Arabidopsis thaliana: one gene and its partners. The protein of the gene in region 4 interacts with the protein of the main gene of each other region in a pairwise test. Each region holds a gene or a part of one and is shown on either strand. Other genes may lie near its edges.

The links.
Region 1: the proteins of BRX (region 4) and MKK4 interact in binary tests that used the Arabidopsis thaliana proteins (3 or more experiments, as listed by UniProt).
Region 2: the proteins of BRX (region 4) and PKS1 interact in binary tests that used the Arabidopsis thaliana proteins (3 or more experiments, as listed by UniProt).
Region 3: the proteins of BRX (region 4) and CIPK16 interact in binary tests that used the Arabidopsis thaliana proteins (3 or more experiments, as listed by UniProt).

What each region holds. Positions count from the first base shown.
Region 1 is NC_003070.9:19,152,531-19,156,850, reverse strand, and holds MKK4 (mitogen-activated protein kinase kinase 4), read right to left. Parts: upstream 2,529-4,320; 5' UTR 2,277-2,528; coding exon 1,176-2,276; 3' UTR 513-1,175; downstream 1-512. Other genes in the region: AT1G51650 (ATP synthase epsilon chain), read right to left, coding at 3,210-3,238, 3,988-4,171.
Region 2 is NC_003071.7:853,550-858,325, reverse strand, and holds PKS1 (phytochrome kinase substrate 1), read left to right. Parts: upstream 1-1,600; 5' UTR 1,601-1,857; coding exon 1,858-3,177; 3' UTR 3,178-4,249; downstream 4,250-4,776. UniProt on the Arabidopsis thaliana protein: May be responsible for light-regulated cytoplasmic sequestration of phytochromes or may be a negative regulator of phytochrome B signaling. Component of the network that modulates the very low-fluence response (VLFR) branch of phyA signaling.
Region 3 is NC_003071.7:10,669,863-10,674,878, reverse strand, and holds CIPK16 (CBL-interacting protein kinase 16), read left to right. Parts: upstream 1-1,986; 5' UTR 1,987-2,268; coding exon 2,269-2,969; intron 2,970-3,628; coding exon 3,629-4,337; 3' UTR 4,338-4,469; downstream 4,470-5,016. UniProt on the Arabidopsis thaliana protein: CIPK serine-threonine protein kinases interact with CBL proteins. Binding of a CBL protein to the regulatory NAF domain of CIPK protein lead to the activation of the kinase in a calcium-dependent manner.
Region 4 is NC_003070.9:11,445,556-11,450,748, reverse strand, and holds BRX (DZC (Disease resistance/zinc finger/chromosome condensation-like region) domain containing protein), read right to left. Parts: upstream 3,463-5,193; 5' UTR 3,429-3,462; coding exon 3,427-3,428; intron 2,986-3,426; coding exon 2,832-2,985; intron 1,924-2,831; coding exon 1,532-1,923; intron 1,435-1,531; coding exon 1,305-1,434; intron 1,203-1,304; coding exon 883-1,202; intron 775-882; coding exon 696-774; 3' UTR 557-695; downstream 1-556. Other genes in the region: NIP3;1 (NOD26-like intrinsic protein 3;1), read right to left, coding at 158-289. UniProt on the Arabidopsis thaliana protein: Acts as a regulator of cell proliferation and elongation in the root and shoot. Regulates roots architecture and primary root protophloem differentiation.

The DNA of each region.
Region 1 (4,320 bases), 7.7 Mb from region 4:
TGAAATAGTAAAAAGATGACATTTTTATCAATGACAAAAAACAGAGGAAGGAGTTTGTGGTTAAATCGAGCCAGTGTGATGCTTCTTTACCAAAGAATGACAAAAATAAAGAAGGATCAAACGCTAAAACGTAACTACTCACTAATCACACTGAAAAAGGAAATGCACAAGCAAGCAAAATCCGTAACAAAAAAAAAAAACCCTAAAACGTAACTAAAAGCTCCTACAAAGGCAAATGCATAAGCAAAAATTGTGACAAACCAAAGCAAGCTACAAAAATCTCAACAACTTAGAAAAAAACTCTAAAGAGTAACACTGATTGCACTTACAAAGAAAAACTCACAAGCAGAGGAAGCAACCAAAGGAACCTAAAGGATTTAGTATTTATAGACAAGAGTATGGGTGACTCGAAAAACCCTAGAGATAGGACAGATGTCACCATCCTCTGTCATCAAATCGTATCAATGGCTGCGAGAATCGCTACTTTCTCCGTACAAGCTTTCAATTCATCACCACTGCTCTGTGTTTTTGTTTCTTGTCGTTTTCCAACTTTGGAGATGACCGTTTGACCGTTGTTGTGCCTTAGACGACGTCTTTTCAACATTGGGCTTTATCTTTAGCTGGCCCAAGTTCCTCTTTTCTTCAATTAGACCCACTTTGCTAAACACAGTCGTTTTGCTCTCTCGGATTGAGGAATTGTCTTAAACTCTTCCAAGGATGTTCTAAACTGGGACATCAACCTGATTAGGTTTGAGAAACGATTCTACGATCCGTATATTTTGCTTTTTCATGATGGTAATAAGCTTTACAAGGAGACATTTTATCAATGACAAAACTAAACACCGAGAATGGAAACGAAACGGTCCTTTTCGTCTTCAAGATGCAAAATTGACGAGCATAAATGACAAAAGAAAAACCAAGGCAAAAACTTTTATGAAAATTCAACAAAGCTACATTGGGGATACATGCACCATCATAAGCATAAGAATATTATCATTGTTCTCTTTTACCTTTCTAGAAAACAATAATCCCAAAAACCCTCTCTCGAGTTTTTTACTCCCTAATAAATGTAAAATTCAGAGACCCTCCATGATTAGCAAAAAATTGGACAACAGACTCAAGAACAGTAGTAACACAAAAAATATGAGTTGATGAAGGGAAGAAGAGAGAAAACGCTATGTGGTTGGAGAAGAAGACGAGGACAGAGGACGAGGAGGAGGCAAGAGTTGATGTAGATTCTGAGGAGACCTGTTCTGGCTCGGACTTGCTCTTAATATGAAAGGATGCTGCAATAGCTGCATAGCACTCCTCCTTTTCCCCGGTTCTCTCTGCAAGCAACACGAGATAAAATGCCGAAACTCCGGCGACGCAGTCGCTGGAGCTTCTGGAGGCTGAGACATACAAATGGCACACATAAGACTAGCCCAATCACCTTGTCTACTCACAGGGAAAGGAAACCTCCCCAAGTAAAACTCCAAAATGCTAACACCTAAGCTCCAAATATCTCCAGCATAACCATCATACTTTCCCTGATTCAAATCAGTGTTAATCCTCTCAGGACTCATATAAGCAATGGTTCCAACAGATGAATTACACGGATCCATAGTCTGAGCCAAGATCCTACTAACTCCAAAATCAGCAATCTTAACGTTTTTAGCAGAGTTTATCAAAAGATTCGATGGTTTGATATCACGATGAACTATGTGACGGCTATGGAGATAAGCTAAACCACTAAGAATCTGACGAGATAGATCAGCTAATTGTTGCTCTTTCCACACATGAGCACCTTCTAAAGAACCTTTATCCATAAACTCAAGCAAAACCTGGATCTCACCGTTCTGATCAAACATCTCGTGACATTTCACAACGTTTGGATGATTCACATCTCGTAAAATCTCGATCTCTCTACAGATCTGACGTCTCACAGTCTCCTCGTGGTTACCGTATATCACCTTAAGTGCATATAGACGAGAACTCGGACGGTGAATCACTTTGTATACCGTTCCACCTGCTCCGCTTCCGATACGGTTACCTCTCACTAAATCCGAATAGTTCTTCGCTTCTATGGAGCTGTTAGTGTTCGTTGAAGACGCCGAACCACCAGAAGACGGCGCAGATCCACTAGAGCCACCGGAACCACCGGAAGTAGGTGGGAGAGGAAGAGGTACAGCGAGAGAAACATCGCGTTGAGGAAGCGGTAAGGTAAGATCAGGACGGCGACGGGGACGGCTTTTCACCGGAACGGAAACTCCTGGAGGCGATTGAATCGGTCTCATCGCTTTTGGAATCAAAAGTTCGATTTTCTTCTACGATCTGAAAATTTAAAAGCTCGATTGAAGATTGAAGTAATGATCTTCGTCGTTTATAGTAGTAGTCTTCTTCGACTTCTTCGTCGTCGTGCGTTGTCGTATTCTAGGGTTTGTTTGTGGCAGGCTTAAATTGATTCGTTCTTCGAAGCGATCAAAATCAAAAGAAATTGAGAAATGAAGTTTCGTCGAAAGAAATTGAAAGGACACTGAAAAGGGAACGTTAATTTTTATTTTGAGAAAATTAATTAAAAGGAAATAAATAGCAAAATTGTTAAAATCGAGAAAAAGGTATCTACGCGATGTGTAAAGCGCGTGAGGATCACTTTCAAGCACGGAAACCATTTGTGACTTTGTGTGGTTGGTTCACTGGGCACTTCTGGCTCTGTTAAGTTTTTTTCAGACTTTACGCGGTGTCGTTTTGTTGGTTTTGTGATATAAACCAAGAAGAGGAAATCGAATTTAAATCAAACAAACGCGTAAAAGTGACATTGGAGATGGTCTAACCTGCAAATATGCGTACTGCGATTCAAAATACATGATTCAGAAAATCAGTTTGTATATTCTCATGTTTAATATTAAGTATGGTCTTCTCTCAACTTCTGACAGTGTATTGATTCTCCACGTATGTGCTTAGTTTTATGCTATTCTCACTGTTCTGTAACAATCAAAAGAACTTGTCTTTAGCCAGAAGAGTCTTTAAAGGCTTTTTTTCATTGTTCGCATACAAAAAGTGAAACAGAATAGCAAAAGAAGAAAAGAGATACACAAGACTCAGTGTGTCATTATTATGATCGGAAATGAGTTTTTCACTCAAGCTCCATTGTTGACAATAAAAAGAAAACAAATCTTGGTAACTCAGTTACTTTTGAATCCCTTAAGAACATAAGCTCAAAGTTGACTTCAAACTTCAGGTGTGTCTGACCGCAAAACTGTCAAGGAAAAACAAAAACATGAGAGAATGTTAGACAAATGGATCAACAAGAAGAAAGCTGAACCATTTTCAGATAGACTAAATCTGGAATCATTGTCTCAGTAAACCCTATTTGAGAAATGAAATCATTCCAAATTCAACAATTTGAACATAACAACAACTTATGAGAAAACAAAATAGAATGAAATTAATCAAATCCAGAAGCAGAAGAGAGACAGATTAAGCGCAAAATCGATGGAGCTTGTTAAAATGATTCATCTTCCTCTTAAATTCAATAGCTTTCCCAAAATGACCTACTCTGATATCTACGTATTCCAACAATTTCAATGACACACAACAAGAACATGAAGAATTCAGATCCAAACATAAACGAGAAAAGACATCTAAATGCAATGTTCCCAATCAGCTTTCCATCTTCTTCATGTTCTTGTTTCACACATACTACTAGTTTTGTTGTTTTCTCTGAAGCTAACTCTAAATGAAAAATTCAACAATTTGGACATAACAACATTGTATGAAGATAGTATTGAACTGATCAAATCCAGAAGCAGAGGAAAGGTTAAATGCAAAATCGAAGATCAAATCCAGAAGCAGATGATTCACTTTCCACTTAATTCCGATAACTTTTAGGAAATCAGATTATTCCAACAAATTACTCAAAAACAAATCAGGAATCGAGAACACAAGAACGTGAAGAATCCAGATCTAAGATCCAACATCGACGATTAAAGGATCGAAAAGGCTTACCAGGTTTCTGGGGCTTTCCATCAGCCCATTTGGAGAGAGAGAAGTGAACCTTCTCGCGAGTAAGAGCTTCAGCTTTGTGTGGCTCCTTGAGACAGTTCCTCACGATATTCGCACAGATGTTTGAATACGATATATATGTCATCCCCGCCGCTCTCCAGAACGGAACCGCCGCATTCGATGCCATCTCCGATCTTCTTCCTTGTCTTCCTTCTTCGTCCGTTCCGATTCTAAGGAGAAAGTTCGCGAAATGGGACAGAGACCGATTCTGTGCCCTAGTAATCCTAACACAGTTTAGACCCAATGGGCCTTATTAAATATTTTAACGGCCCATTA
Region 2 (4,776 bases), on a different chromosome or scaffold from region 4:
TGGTTTGTGGTAAATCTCATAATGATCATTTTTGTTTTAGTTGGACGAATAAAGGTTGTGGTTGAGAAACAAACACGTATGCTGTGGGATCAATTCGAACCATTCATACGTGATACGTCGACTATAGCAACTAATAAGCATATTTTATTAACTACATTACACAATATTCTTGATTGACAGATACATAGATTTTATGTTTGAATTAATTAATCTTTCGTTATGTTATATTTAACAAAAACAATACACATTATTTGATATGTATTATATGACAAGATACGATTCCATGAATTTTCTAATATACATTACACATAAATTATAGAGCGTACGTCAAATCATAACATAAAATATTACTATATTTAACAAAACCCAACTCGATGGTCTTTGTCAATATCTCCCCATGCAACAAAATACGTACATCCCTCGTGCTTTCTAAGTTTCTATTTTTGTATTTTTGTTCCTCAAGTGAAATCCATATCCACTACTTTTCTAGTTGAAAAAAGTTAGAAGTTAAAATACAAGTAAATCCAGATTCACTTGTCAGCTCAATCCTAACATGTCTTTGAAAATGTGTGTCCGAAAACTTGTCAGCCCATTATTAAGTATGTGAAACAATACTTTAATTTGAAGTAATTAAGAAAAACAATACATTAAATCTACTTTTTTTCTCATGTAAAACTCTTTGACACCATTGGTAAAATCCAATCATTTATCTTCCGATCTTATTGACGATGTCATTAATTTGTTAATTGTATGATGGTTAATAAGTTTATCCAATGTATGTTTTTGTTTAATTTATTTATCCAATGTATTATTTTATTTTAACATACAATGCTAATCAAAATTTTAGTTTAAGTAATTAAGAGAGTCCTTTAAGAATAATAAAAAAATGTTGGTTTATAACAGAGAGTCCTTTAAGAATAATAAAAAAATGTTGGTTTATAACAGAGAGTCCTCAATGCAAATCAGATTGTTTTAAACCTGCACACAATCCAACAAAATCATCTCTTCTTGCTAAAGCTAATCATCTCAATTATCTCACAAGGTTCAACAATCGTATGAATGTGAAGTATATAGCCATACACCCCCATCTGTAATTAACGTGTCCGAACGGATTGTACATTAGAGCACCTCCAATGTATAGGATTCATATAGTTTCTAAAAAAACAAAAAGTATTAATATTTTATTTTTATATCCAAAAAACAAAAAAAAACAACCTATATGAATAATAGAAACGATCCTCCCAATTTTAGAGATTCTCTCTCATCTCTTTTTTAATTTATAATTTTTTTTTGTAATTGTATGAGTTTCTACTAAAAAACTACGGTTGGAGTTGGTTTTAGTTGCTACAAATATAGTAGCAAATGTGTTTTAAATCGGAATCTTAAAAACGTATAGTAGTGCTAAACGTCTACGTACAAAATACGAATATTGAACGTATAAAAAAAAACACTTTCTGAAATCTGCAGGTTAGAAAATTATTTAAGAGATCCAGTTGCAATGTGAGTAGTATACTAGTACTGTTGTATTAATAAGTCCTAATCGAATTAAGACCATATCATTATAATTCCTTTCTTTTGTGGTCACGGGGGTAACATTATTTTTCGATTATTCTCCATTGATTGGCAAAGATTCATTATCCAAATATATAAATAAATCAGTTCACACACACAACAACTGGCCAATGACTCAAACTGGAACCCACTCACATTGATCAGATCATAACACTTTTAGCTTCAGAAAAAAAAAAAAAAACAGCTATCAAACATATCGTCTTGTTACTCTATTTATACCCTAATTCCACATATCTACACACAAGCAATAAAGAGAGAAAAAAATATAAAGCTACCAAAGAGAAAATGGTGACACTAACACCATCTTCTGCTAGTACCCCAAAAACATCTTTTGATTTCATGAAGAATAACAACAGTCACAGCAGTCTCTATGTTTCTTCTTCTTCTTACTTGAGCAGCAAGGAAGATGCTCTTGTCACGACCAAGAAGCTCATGGAACCAAGCAAAACACTAAACATGAGCATTAATCCAAAACAAGAGGAGTTTGGTGATGAGAAGAAAATGGTGAAGAAAGCTCCTGAAGATCCAGAGATTGGTGTGTTTGGAGCTGAGAAGTACTTCAATGGAGACATGGATTCAGACCAAGGTTCTAGTGTTCTGTCTCTGACAAACCCAGAAGTTGAGAGAACCGTCGTCGACTCGAAGCAGAGCGCGAAGAAATCTACTGGTACTCCGAGTGTCCGGTCTGAATCAAGCTGGAATAGTCAGAGCGTGTTGCTTCAGAACAAACTGGTGAATAGCTGCAACAGTTCCTTCAAGGAAAAGAAGAACAGTAATGGTCAGATTCAAAAGGTGACCAATAATAAGAAGAGTTTTCTCGCAAATTTGGGGTGTAAATGCGCATGCTCTGATGGGGATTCTGTAGATGTCGAGGAGAAAACCTCGGTCAAGAGAAGCGCTGATCCGAATATCTCTGTTATCACAATGAGATCTTCTGCGGATATGAACACAGAACTGATCAAGATTCAGAAGCAAGAGGAGTTATCACAGAGGAAGTCTCTTGAAGTTTTTGGATCTCCAGTGGCTATTGAGAAGAAGAGTAGTGTTGTTCAGAAGAAACTACCATTGCCTCCATGGAAATCGAGAACAGAGGAGGACGACACAAAGAGTGAAGGGAGTGATTCAAGCTCGGATCTTTTCGAGATAGAGGGTCTTACAGGGAACCCTAAACCTTTTCTTACGAGGCAAGGAAGTGATCCAGCTTCACCTACGTGTTATGCGCCAAGTGAAGTAAGCGTAGAGTGGAGCATAGTGACAGCAAGTGCAGCAGATTTCTCTGTTATGTCAGAATGTGCAACAAGTCCTGTAAGAAGAAACCGACCTACTCAGATTCCTCGAATCCCTATTACCGCTAAATCAGCACCGCAGAGACGGAAATCGAGTAGCAGCAGCGGAGGGAATGGTTTCTTGATGAGCTGCAAGAGTCATAAATCTGTTATGGTTTCTGGTGATTTAGACAGAAGAAGCAGCATGAACAAGACACAACCGAGTTACGTTCCTAGATTCCCAATGGAGACTACTAAACCTAAGAGTTTCGAAACACGAAGAAGGATCAGCAACAGCTCGATTTCTCACACACAATCATCTCTTCTTTATAGTCAGTGATTGCAAGAAAGTAAAAGAAAAAGATTTCAATCTCTGATCTCTCTTTATCTATAATTTCTACTGAGTGAGAAAGATATGTAAACTTATAATAATGTCTTGTTGAGTCCATGATCAAATCAATTTAAAAGGGTTTCTTAGAGACCTTTTGCACCTAAGAAAAAGTTACTCAAAGAGTGACAAATGATTGGAGAGTGAAAACAAAACATTATGGTCAGTTAAAAACACAGATCTCAAATTCAGCAAAATAAGCAGAGAGACATTCCAAAAATTGGCTCCACCAAGTTTTACCTTTTTTGGATTTAGTCTCAAGACTCAAGAGAGAGAGATATGAGTTTTGTCTTAGCTTGAAAGGGTTAAATCAAACGTACACTAGATTGACAGAAAGAGCTATTAATGAGGAAACTTAAATCAATGAAAGTGTCATATTACCTAACATATCTAAGATCTGGTCCTGAAACTCATCTAAAGGCCATGTATATGTCTGAAATAAAAGTAAGGTAGACAAAACCTTAATTGCTAGTTGACAATATGAGAGAAAAGAACCAAAGTGCCTTACTAAGACAATAAATGCAAAGAAAGATCAAAGATGTTTGTCTCTGTAGCCTACTCATAAGGGAAATGATCGAATTTACCCCAAATGATCTTATCCAGTTCACTGATATTTCTCTGTAAGATATTTCAAAAAGGGCTAATTAGATTTCAAGAAAAGACATAAATGAAACCAAGATGATGACATCAAAGCTAGTATAGCTAGTATGGGCTTAAAACCAAGAAACATACAGATCTTGAAGATAAGTATTGTACCCTTCTCAAAAGATATGAGAAAATAATTGACCACACTATATATAAAAATCTAATCATCTAACTACTTAGTTTTCATATGTGGATGAGAGAAGAACAACAAAAGCAAGAAGACATTTTGTGTTAAGAAAGCAAAACAAGATTACTCATCTTTGAATTCTTTGGTTGGACATTGCCTCAAAGCATCCGCTTGCTCTCTTTCGTCAAGTGAATAAAGGCAAGTTGGTAATGAGATGAGACTCTGATCCCACATGACAAAAAATGGCTGAGAGAAGTTTCTATTTAATTCCATAGAGTTTGTGGTGAAACATTCACTGTCTTGATGTGAAAGGGGTTCGTTCCTCAGGAGCCCACCAAGAGAAGGAGAAGAGTCTTGTGTGGTCGTTTGCTGCATCTCCATTACTTCATGTTACCAAAAGAATACAAAAAAACCCCAAACATAGGTTCAGGAACAGATGATGATTATAGAAATAACAATCTTATATTATCTGACAACAAAGTGGTAACAGTACATCAAAACTAGGATTCTTGACTGTCTCTAGCTATGTGTCAGTTCCTAATATCTTCCACAGAGAGAAGGAAATAATGATCATATGCCAACATAAAGAAAATCAAATCTTTTTAAAGCACCCCTAAGTGTATCATAACATGAGAAAAATAAACCTTTAAAGGAAAGATCACTCGATTTTCACAAAGATAACAATCACAGTGCTCTGCCTCTGATTACCAAGTAACGTTTAATGTTCAATTGCCCCGAGTGAAACCATTACCAGTTATTTCAAGAAGATCATAAACTCT
Region 3 (5,016 bases), on a different chromosome or scaffold from region 4:
TACAGAAAGTAGAGAAAATTTTGTACTTTTGAAGTAAAGAAAAAAAAAAGAAGTAGACAAAATTGTGTAGGATTCTTCACGGTTTTTGCATTCTTCTTTATTACCAAGTCTTCAATATTTTCATTTCAATAAAACTTCCCCTTTCTTACAAAGAACTCTTATTTTCCATTTTTCTTCACATTTTTCCTTGCAAGATCACTCATTTTAATTTATGTAAATGATAGAATTTGAAGATCCATACTTCAGCAATCTGTTTTTCTTGGCATGTTGAGTTTTTATCAACAACACCAATTATTATTTTATTTTCTCTGGTTCAAGAAATTGTCTAAGCTCCATTCAAACATTCTGTACTTATATATAAAGTTTACATCATCACATATTGTGCATCAAATAGCAAAGGTTTTGGCAACATACATATAATATGAATCGTGCTTGTACACACACACACACTCATGTATATATATGTATTTATTGTTTACCCTTGAACAACATTTTTAGGTAAGGGGGTCTTCTATCATCAGGAAAACATAAGGTAGATGAGGTAACATCTTTAGATTCGTTCGAAGTAGAACTCCTATGCATTTGATCAAATTGTTTTCTAATTAAGTAATGCAACATTTAAACCATGTGCAGCACAAACGATGGCTTATTTAGGTGGATTTGCAAATCTTTTCACTCTTTAGGGCATATTCCAATCAACTACTGCTTGAAATTTGACTGATCAATGTGATGCAAAATTCACGGCATGGCTTGTTTTAGCAGCTAGTTTCGACAACCTAATCACCCGAAAATAACAAACAATCGGAAATGCAGCGCGATAAGTAGATATATGTCTGTGATCACCCAATTAGCCACAAAATAGTGTACTATGTTTGTGATGTTACCCTTTTACTCTTCAATTTTAAATACATATCTCGTTATAGTATTTTTTTTTTTTTTTTTTTTTTTTTTTTTGGGTAAAACTCGTTATAGTATTTCGTTAGAGTATTAACATTTGTGTAAACATAATTGTTGTCATTAATCGTGGGTCCAAATCATGACACATCACAAAGTTTCTTGGACTTGTTATACATGTTCCTTAAAATGATTAGTTATATATTATCTTAATAATCCTGATCTTTAAATCGAACAAATTTAGATTTAGCTTCTTTTTTTTTTGTTAAAATTTAGATTTAGCTTTACAAGATGTACCTTTGATTATGATAGAGGAAAATAACAGTATCCCACCCAAATACACGGTTATAATGAGATTTTCATGTATGTAGAAAAATCATCAAATTGTAAGAAAACAATTGGAAAAATTGAGTGTGTTGTTTTGAGTAGCAAAATATGAAGAATCCATCAAACCAAGAAATTAGCAAAGATGTAGAAAGGAAGATTTGGTCGATAGATTCACGGACGTATTAGAAATGACCACTTTCCGATACAATCGTCCCAACTAGGAAAAGAGTCAAAGCTTTTCGAAAGAAATTAAAAATTCCTCTATGAAAAATAAGTCAAGAAATTGTTTTAAAAATATTTAAGGGCCAAGTAGAAAAGGTCACATCTTGCCTTACCAAAAAAAGACAGTTCATTGAAATTTTATCGGGACAAGTTTACTATTTTTAATTAATGCGTATCTACTTCAAAACATGCGTAGCATTAACGGCGATTCCACGTCAATTTCATGGCGTCCACAATTTTTGTATAAGGATAAGAGAGTTACTTTTATATTTTTAAAATCTATTCTGAAAACTTTAAGAACTTATTTACATGAATACATGGTCAGAAATGTGCGAGACCATTGTTTAACTGGTTAAAAAAAGGATTTATTTACATAGAAATGGATTTAAATCACCTGTTACACTTTTATTGAAATCATTCTCTTATGATCATTGCATCGTAACTCGAGATATTTATTTTTCATGCTTTAGTTTGTTAATTATATCTAGTTTTATCATGTTCTATAACCCTTTTTTAGGCACTCAACATAAATAGCAAACCCCGATTTAGTTCAATTCGCGAATCAATTTCGTCTTGGTTATTCTTTTGGCTTTGGTCGTATTTAATTATGCTAGCTGCCAGATCTTAGGCACATCACTTTGTTTAGATAAGATTAGAACATTTCTTCACAGTTCACTTAGTCGTCACATATCAAACAAAGTAGACAACATTATAAATAAAAAAATTCCACAAATAATTTCTGCTTATATATATAGATATGTAACCAAATCACAAAATTCCACATAATTAGTCTCACATATACTTGTAACTAGTCAGACAAAGACAATGGAAGAATCAAACCGTAGTAGTACTGTCTTGTTCGACAAATACAACATCGGAAGACTTCTCGGAACCGGTAACTTCGCCAAAGTGTATCACGGAACAGAGATCTCCACCGGCGATGACGTGGCAATCAAAGTCATCAAAAAAGACCACGTTTTCAAACGTCGTGGCATGATGGAGCAAATCGAACGAGAGATCGCCGTCATGCGTCTCCTCCGTCATCCAAACGTGGTCGAGCTCCGCGAAGTAATGGCTACAAAGAAGAAGATTTTCTTCGTCATGGAGTACGTCAACGGCGGAGAGCTTTTCGAAATGATCGATAGAGATGGGAAGCTCCCGGAGGATCTAGCCAGAAAGTATTTCCAACAATTGATATCCGCGGTGGATTTTTGCCACAGCCGCGGTGTTTTCCACCGCGATATTAAACCCGAGAATCTGTTGCTTGACGGAGAAGGTGATCTTAAGGTAACGGATTTCGGACTTTCCGCATTGATGATGCCAGAAGGGCTAGGTGGCAGGCGTGGTAGCAGCGATGATCTTTTACATACGCGGTGCGGGACACCGGCTTACGTGGCGCCGGAGGTTTTACGGAATAAAGGATACGACGGAGCTATGGCTGATATTTGGTCGTGCGGGATTGTTTTGTATGCACTCCTTGCTGGCTTCTTGCCGTTTATCGACGAAAACGTCATGACATTGTACACGTAAGTATTTCTTGACCAGGTTTTGGCCCAAACCGTATTTGTTTTTGTTATTTATTTGACGAATAGTGAGATACAAAAAAATATTGAACTAAAAGCCAAAGTAGTCCATTTTGAGTTGGGTTTCTAGATGCATCTCAATTTTACATCACATACTTATATATGTTAAAAAGAAATAATAATCATTTTTGGTTAAATAAAATATTATTTGAAAGAGACAGTTTAACTTGTACCAATAGATACAAAACTTGGATATAAGATATACTATTTGAAAGTTTACACACACAAAAAGAAAAGATATATAGTATTTGAATTATTTGTTCACGTAATTCAAATTTTAATAATTACTCAAAATTATACAATATTTTCCAAGATATTGAAACTATTATCAATTTGTGAATATTCGGGTGGTATTTTAGGTACATTAATCTGATATCAAATTCGATAAATGTTGGTCGATCGTATATTTCATTATAGTTCTATATTATCAAAATTTCACGTCCCGTATTTTACTAGATAATTTATAAAACTCCCGCCAATAATAACGGTCTCAAATAGTGCTCTTCTTACAAATTCAAATATTAGTATTGTTGAATGTGAATGTGAATTGATCAAATTCTCATTGTTGTTTCTTGTTTGATTGAACCTTTCGAAATAAACAGGAAGATCTTCAAGGCGGAATGCGAGTTCCCACCGTGGTTTTCCTTAGAATCCAAGGAACTACTCTCAAGATTGCTTGTGCCGGATCCTGAACAAAGAATTTCAATGTCAGAGATCAAAATGATTCCATGGTTCCGAAAGAACTTTACACCATCAGTAGCCTTTTCGATAGACGAAACGATCCCATCTCCACCGGAGCCACCAACAAAGAAAAAGAAGAAAGACCTAAACGAGAAAGAAGACGACGGAGCTTCACCAAGATCCTTCAACGCCTTCCAATTCATCACATCAATGTCTTCAGGTTTCGATCTCTCTAACCTATTCGAGATAAAACGAAAGCCAAAGCGGATGTTCACATCGAAGTTCCCGGCGAAATCTGTTAAAGAGAGGCTGGAGACGGCGGCGCGTGAGATGGATATGAGAGTGAAACATGTAAAAGACTGCAAGATGAAGCTGCAAAGAAGAACAGAAGGTCGTAAAGGAAGGCTCTCGGTGACGGCGGAAGTATTCGAAGTCGCTCCTGAAGTCTCTGTCGTGGAGTTCTGCAAAACCTCGGGGGATACGTTGGAGTATTACCTCTTCTGTGAGGATGACGTCAGACCAGCTCTTAAAGACATTGTATGGTCATGGCAAGGTGATGATGATGAAGACGATGTTACCACTAATGATAATGTTGACACAAATGATAACAAAATAAATAATGTTTCATGAGCTGTAATAATTCACTTTTTGGAATTGGATGTGCGAGGCGAGACTGTCTTATTGTGAAATTGCAAATGTATAAGAACATTTTTTTTATGATTAACAATAAAAATTACTTGGAGGGTTTGTACAATTGTCAAAAACTATTGAAGCAAAATTGGTTATATATGTTATGAACGTTCTATAGGTCATTAGTTCGAGTCTACTTCTCATTTTTTTTTTTTTTCAAGTGTTCAAAGCGAAGTAGTTTTGTTAATCTATATACAAACTTATACGGTTTACAAAATCTATACACGTTCAAGGGTTATATTGCGGATTACTTTTCAAATTCAATAAAATAATGTATATAAGATTAAGTAGGGCGGACTCACGTTGGTGCACCCACTAAACTATAAATATTTGAATTTTTACATAAGGAACTGTAACTAATCTAGTTTAATAAACACTTTGAAATGTAAGAGGTGAAGGGTTCAATGCTTTTTTTTGTAATATCATCTCCATCGTTGTTGATTGGATGTGCGCGAGCGAGATTGTCTTATTGTATATATAACACCATTTTTATAATATAATGTATATAACATTACCATTATACGCAAATTATTAAGCGATTAGTACAACTTAGAATGTAAGAAGGTATACAAGCAATAACCGGAAACTTTATGTCACAATTTACGGTTACTTTAACCAT
Region 4 (5,193 bases):
TGGAAAATCAGTTACCAATAATTAGAACCAAAGTCAAGATTGAGCTTGCATATAGGCTATAGCAAACATCACACGAAATATAAAATCTTGATTTGGACTAACAAATATTTCACGACAAATTAAGAAACCATATCGCAACATAAAAGAGGCGGCTCACCTTTTGAACGAACGATACGGACACAAGAGGAGCGGATAAATCCGACGACCGGGAATCATCAATGGATTGATAGTTTTCGATGTCCAAGACAACGGTTTGTGTCTGAGTAGTAATATCAGAAATCTCAGCCATTGATGGAACTATGGTGACTTTCCTCCAAGTTTATGGTTTTCTCATCTAAAAACTCAAATGGTCAACTCTACTTTGTATTCGTTATAACTTATAAGCAAATAATAAAGTTGACTTTTTTATTCTATAGTCTATACCGCATGTTGATAAATTCTTTTAGGTTCATAGTTGACTTCTTTATCTTTGTCACAAAACACACGACATGGTTTACACGATAGTTATAGACTTATAATTATATGTAAATGTAATCAGCTTTGATTAGAAATGATATTTCAAAACACTTAATTTATGTATAGATGTTAAGCTAAGATGAACAAAAAGATAAGCAAAATGTGTGTAGTTTGTGTTGTTATGTGAAGGAGATTAATTAATTAATTAAAGATTTTGGTACTCATAATATTTCGTTTGCTTAGAGGTACTGTGTTTGTATTCTCTCTCTGTTCTGCTCCCACCATGTCTTTGCATGCACTTCCCCAAACCGTTCCCGGCTGTTGATTAAACCACAAAACCATAGATTCCGGTTAGTCACGGTATGATTACCAACTTTCAAAATGTATATGATTAGCAAATGCTTAGTTTTAGACGTTTTGTTATACCTGAATCTGACTCGACGTAGCTCTCTAGTCCCATCTGATAATTGTCTGATGGTAATGTAAACACCAGGCTCGTCCTCTTCAATCCACTCAGCTTGCATTTCACTAGCATTGCTCATGGAAGGTGGATCATCTCTGGAAGAAGTTGTGGTTCTTGCTGCATCCATCGGTGGTCCTCCATGATAACTTCCTGGTCCATAGTTGCTAGAGCCGCCATAAAAGTGATGCGGGACAGATCCTGGAGGTCTGAAATTGTGTCTTGGAGTCCAGTCTTTGCTTTCTCTTGCTGAATCCATCTTTGAGTACGTTGAATCTCTCTGTGACTGAAATATAAACTTGTGTTACCCTCTCTGGCTTAAAAGACAAGATTCATATAGATCCTGTTCTGAAGAAAGACTAAGGGATCTAAGGATATATGTGTTTACCTGATCGTCGGATCTTGCAGGCGTTTGGAGAGCTTGGCGGTTAAATCTCTGTACATTGTAAAGCTCAACGATCTTGTCATAGTTCTCACCCCACCACCGTTGAGCTTGCCACTTATCAAACATCTCTCGGCTTTCAAAACAAGACACAAGTAATTGTTAGTTTTTATCTCATGTTTCAGCGTTGAATGCCATGAAGATATAGAGATTGTTTTGAGTAGTTCAAATACCTGAAACGGATCCGTTTGAGATCATTTCCTCCAGTGGGAAGAGAAGCAAATGTGATATGAACACCAGGTTCTACTTGAGCCATCCACTCTTTTGGTCCATCATCATCCAGTACAACATCACAAGACTGTGCAGAGATAGATTCTCGATCATTTCCATATATTGAAGTGAACTTTGATTCTAACCGTCCAGCTGGATGATGAGAGGAGTTTGTGAAGTCCCAAGCAGGAGTTGAACCAGCACTTCCACCCATGAAAGGGTATGGAACACCTTCAGAGGCATTGTCATAATCCGGAAATGATCTATGTCCTTTCTTCAAGGGACTACTAGAGGAACCAGTGCATGGCTTGCATTGTTTATAAGCACCAGAGAATTTCAAAGCCATATCTTTAATCTGCGTAACATATGCACCCAAAAAGACCGATTACATTCAAAAACTTTATCTTGTTTATCAAAGTAATCCATTTAAACACACAAGAATGTTGAGTATAACGGTACACAAACATTATAGGTAGTTTCAAGCCTTTTTAAGTATGACTAAGTATACTTTTTAGCCCAATGAAGTAAAAAGAGGTCTACTATGATCATTATTAAAAGAACAACAATAAAGCTATGAGATCTAACATAATTAAACATATGTATTAAAAAAAGAAACTTCATATTGTCTTCTTAGCCTGCACCACAATCATAACGGCCCACTATTTCTTTTGTTTATGTTCTTTTGATTTACTAAAATAGTTACCCCCACCCCAAAAAACCCTTTCTTTATTTCCTTGTCTAGGTAAGAATCCACTAAAGCTTATTTGAGAGAAAGGTATTTAGATCAAGCTTCACTAGCAATATTCATCAAAGTATGACCCCAATATAAGCTTTAATGATAGTCCTGATAATTCAACTGGCTACATAATTCAAGGATATGTACAATGAGGGTTTAAATTGTTTCAGTAGTTGTTTTTGACTTTCATATGTCTAGTCACATAGAGAGGAAGCAAACACTGACATGAAAACTATTAAAGAGAGATTGGTGAAAGATTCCAAAAAATGAAGTGAAGTTACCTCATTGTAAGATCTCTGTCCTAAACAACAGTAACCTCTATATACTAATGACTTCAAACTCTATTCTTTGGTAAAGAAAACGAATAATAGTCAAATATATGGACCCTTTTTAAGTCCTCTAAGATACGTTAATTGGGGTTTGTGTCTTTGTTTGTTTCACGAGCAAGGCAATTAGAGAAAAGCAATAAAATAAAGTGAAAGAAAATAAAAGCAGAAGAAGGATCAACAAAGAAAGAAGAGAGAGACCTGAATGGTTAGGCTTTTGACGGCTTCTTTAGTATTGGGAGTGGTGCCTCCACGCGCTCCATGTTCGACTTCTTCACCTCCGTCTGCTTTGGTACAAGCTATGCAAGAAAACATTTTTGGTCTCTTTTTTGAGTTGTTCTCTGCCTTTTCAGACCTATAAAACCAGAGAGTACTCTATTAAACATCATCACAAACCAAACCTCACACTACTCTACTCAAATCAATAATAATACTCTACAAAACAAAACAAAAAGTAATTAAGAACGTTAAAGTAGAGCTCACTCTCACAATCCGACATAAAACACGGGTAAAGCTTATGTAATCGTAGTACACATGTAAACATTAGTTACAAGTTAGGAACATATAGCTAGAAAAGGGTATTTGGATTTCAATTGTCGTTTTCTTATAACGCAAAACACAAACACAAAAGGACAAAGTTGTTGACATATCTCTAGTCAGGAAACAACTACTCATGTTATAACAAAAAGAAAATGTAACTTGACTGGTTAGTAGTTTAACTCATAAAGAACCAATGCTAAATATTTCAAGTACTAAACCCATTTTTTAAAAATGGAAAGAAAGAAAAACAGTTTACATTACACCATGGTCGGATATTTGTGTTACCTATTTTAAGAGCGAATAAAAAAAGATGGGTATAAATTAGTGAAGAGATCTTGATAAAGACAAAAGTGTTGAAAGAGATATTAAAACTACATGTTACACTTTTCTTTATTAAAAAAAAAAAGATGTTATAACTAGAAAAGAAAGAGAGCTTGGGGATCAGAAAATAGGACCCAGTTAAGAAATACTAATATTTTAAAAATTAATTGTGCAAATCTAAACACCTGAAAATTGTATAAACACATTATTTACAAGTAATAATATATTCTAAAGACAATCATAATAGAGACAAATGCTTCTTTATTCTACTTTAAATAGTTTTTTTTTTTTGTTAAAGAATAACTTAATACTTTTGTGTGCAGCAAAAGATCCTAAACCCATCCCTCAACTAACAAAAGTTCGAAGAATAATTACATTTTTTTTGCAGTAGCCGAAATTTATGACATTTTAAAAAAAAATCAGATTATTGTGATGACTCAAGAGAATCAAATAATATGTTCTGATTCCGCGTGTTTAACATCGATCAAGACAAATACATAAGTAAAGAAGAAAACAATTGGAAACACTAGAAAAGCAAAACAAAATTGAAAAATATAACAAGAAAATGGAATCTTGACAGTCACGTGTTAAGAAAAAGAAAAAGAGATTGGTTTCTATTTTTAGGGTTTTGAGTGATGATGGACCAATCTAAAGCGTGTCGCGACATGAAAACTAAAACTATATCCAAAGTAAAAGATAAAATCGCAAAAACAATCACGAATCACGAAAAAAACTCTGTTTTGATATCAAAAGCAAAGGCAAAAACTGATACAAAAACCATTATTATTCTCACCTCAGAAAACGACTTCTTCTTTTTTTCTTAATCATTACAATCCAAAAAATAAAATTTTGATTAGTGGGTTTTGTTTATTACTCACTCACCTTTGTGTTTCGATATCTGAGAAATGAAGCGATATGATCTGAGATTATTGAGATACTAGATAGCTAGCTTCTGCTTTATTTTCCTCTTGAAGGCTTTGGTCTATTTAGGAAGCCGGCACGAGTGGGGTTAGTTCTGAGTCTACGTCTATAAATAGACCATCAATGGCTGCAGAGAAGATTAGTGTAGTAGTGTTACAGACAGTAATTGTAATAAATGTGTTACAAAAGGACGAAAACAATTTATGATACTACAATTTTGCTTTTAATGTTTTTGAGAAAAAATTCGGCGTTTTCTCAAAAAAGTAAAAGAACAATAAATACCGGGAAACTTTTGAATGAAAATGAAAATTTATATTAATATTGAAGAATGAATACACATTTTTCGGTGAAGTTTCTGATTTGGGTTTAGTGAGAAAATTTTGGTATTAATCAGAAAAAAATGACGAATCGAATCTGTCTAAATCAAATCAATCAAGTGACAAATGTTTGCAGAAAAAGGTAACGCAAAAAAAAAAAAAAAAATCTCTGAATCTTTTTTTTTCCGGGAAAAAATAGTATTGAAAAGATCGATCGGAAAAAAACCAGTGACTAATCGTTTCTACAGAAGAACAGAAACAGAGCAACGAATCTCTCTGTTTTCTTATTTTCCCGAGAAAAATCTTCAAAAAAGAGAATTTTTATAAACTCACCTGAAATGTCTTCTTCTTCGAATCTGATTATGTAATAAACTTCACTGAGAAAATCTCCAAACTCAAAAACCCATAGAAATCTTCATTTTCCGGAAGAGAAATTTGGAAAAAATGAGAACAGAGACGAAACC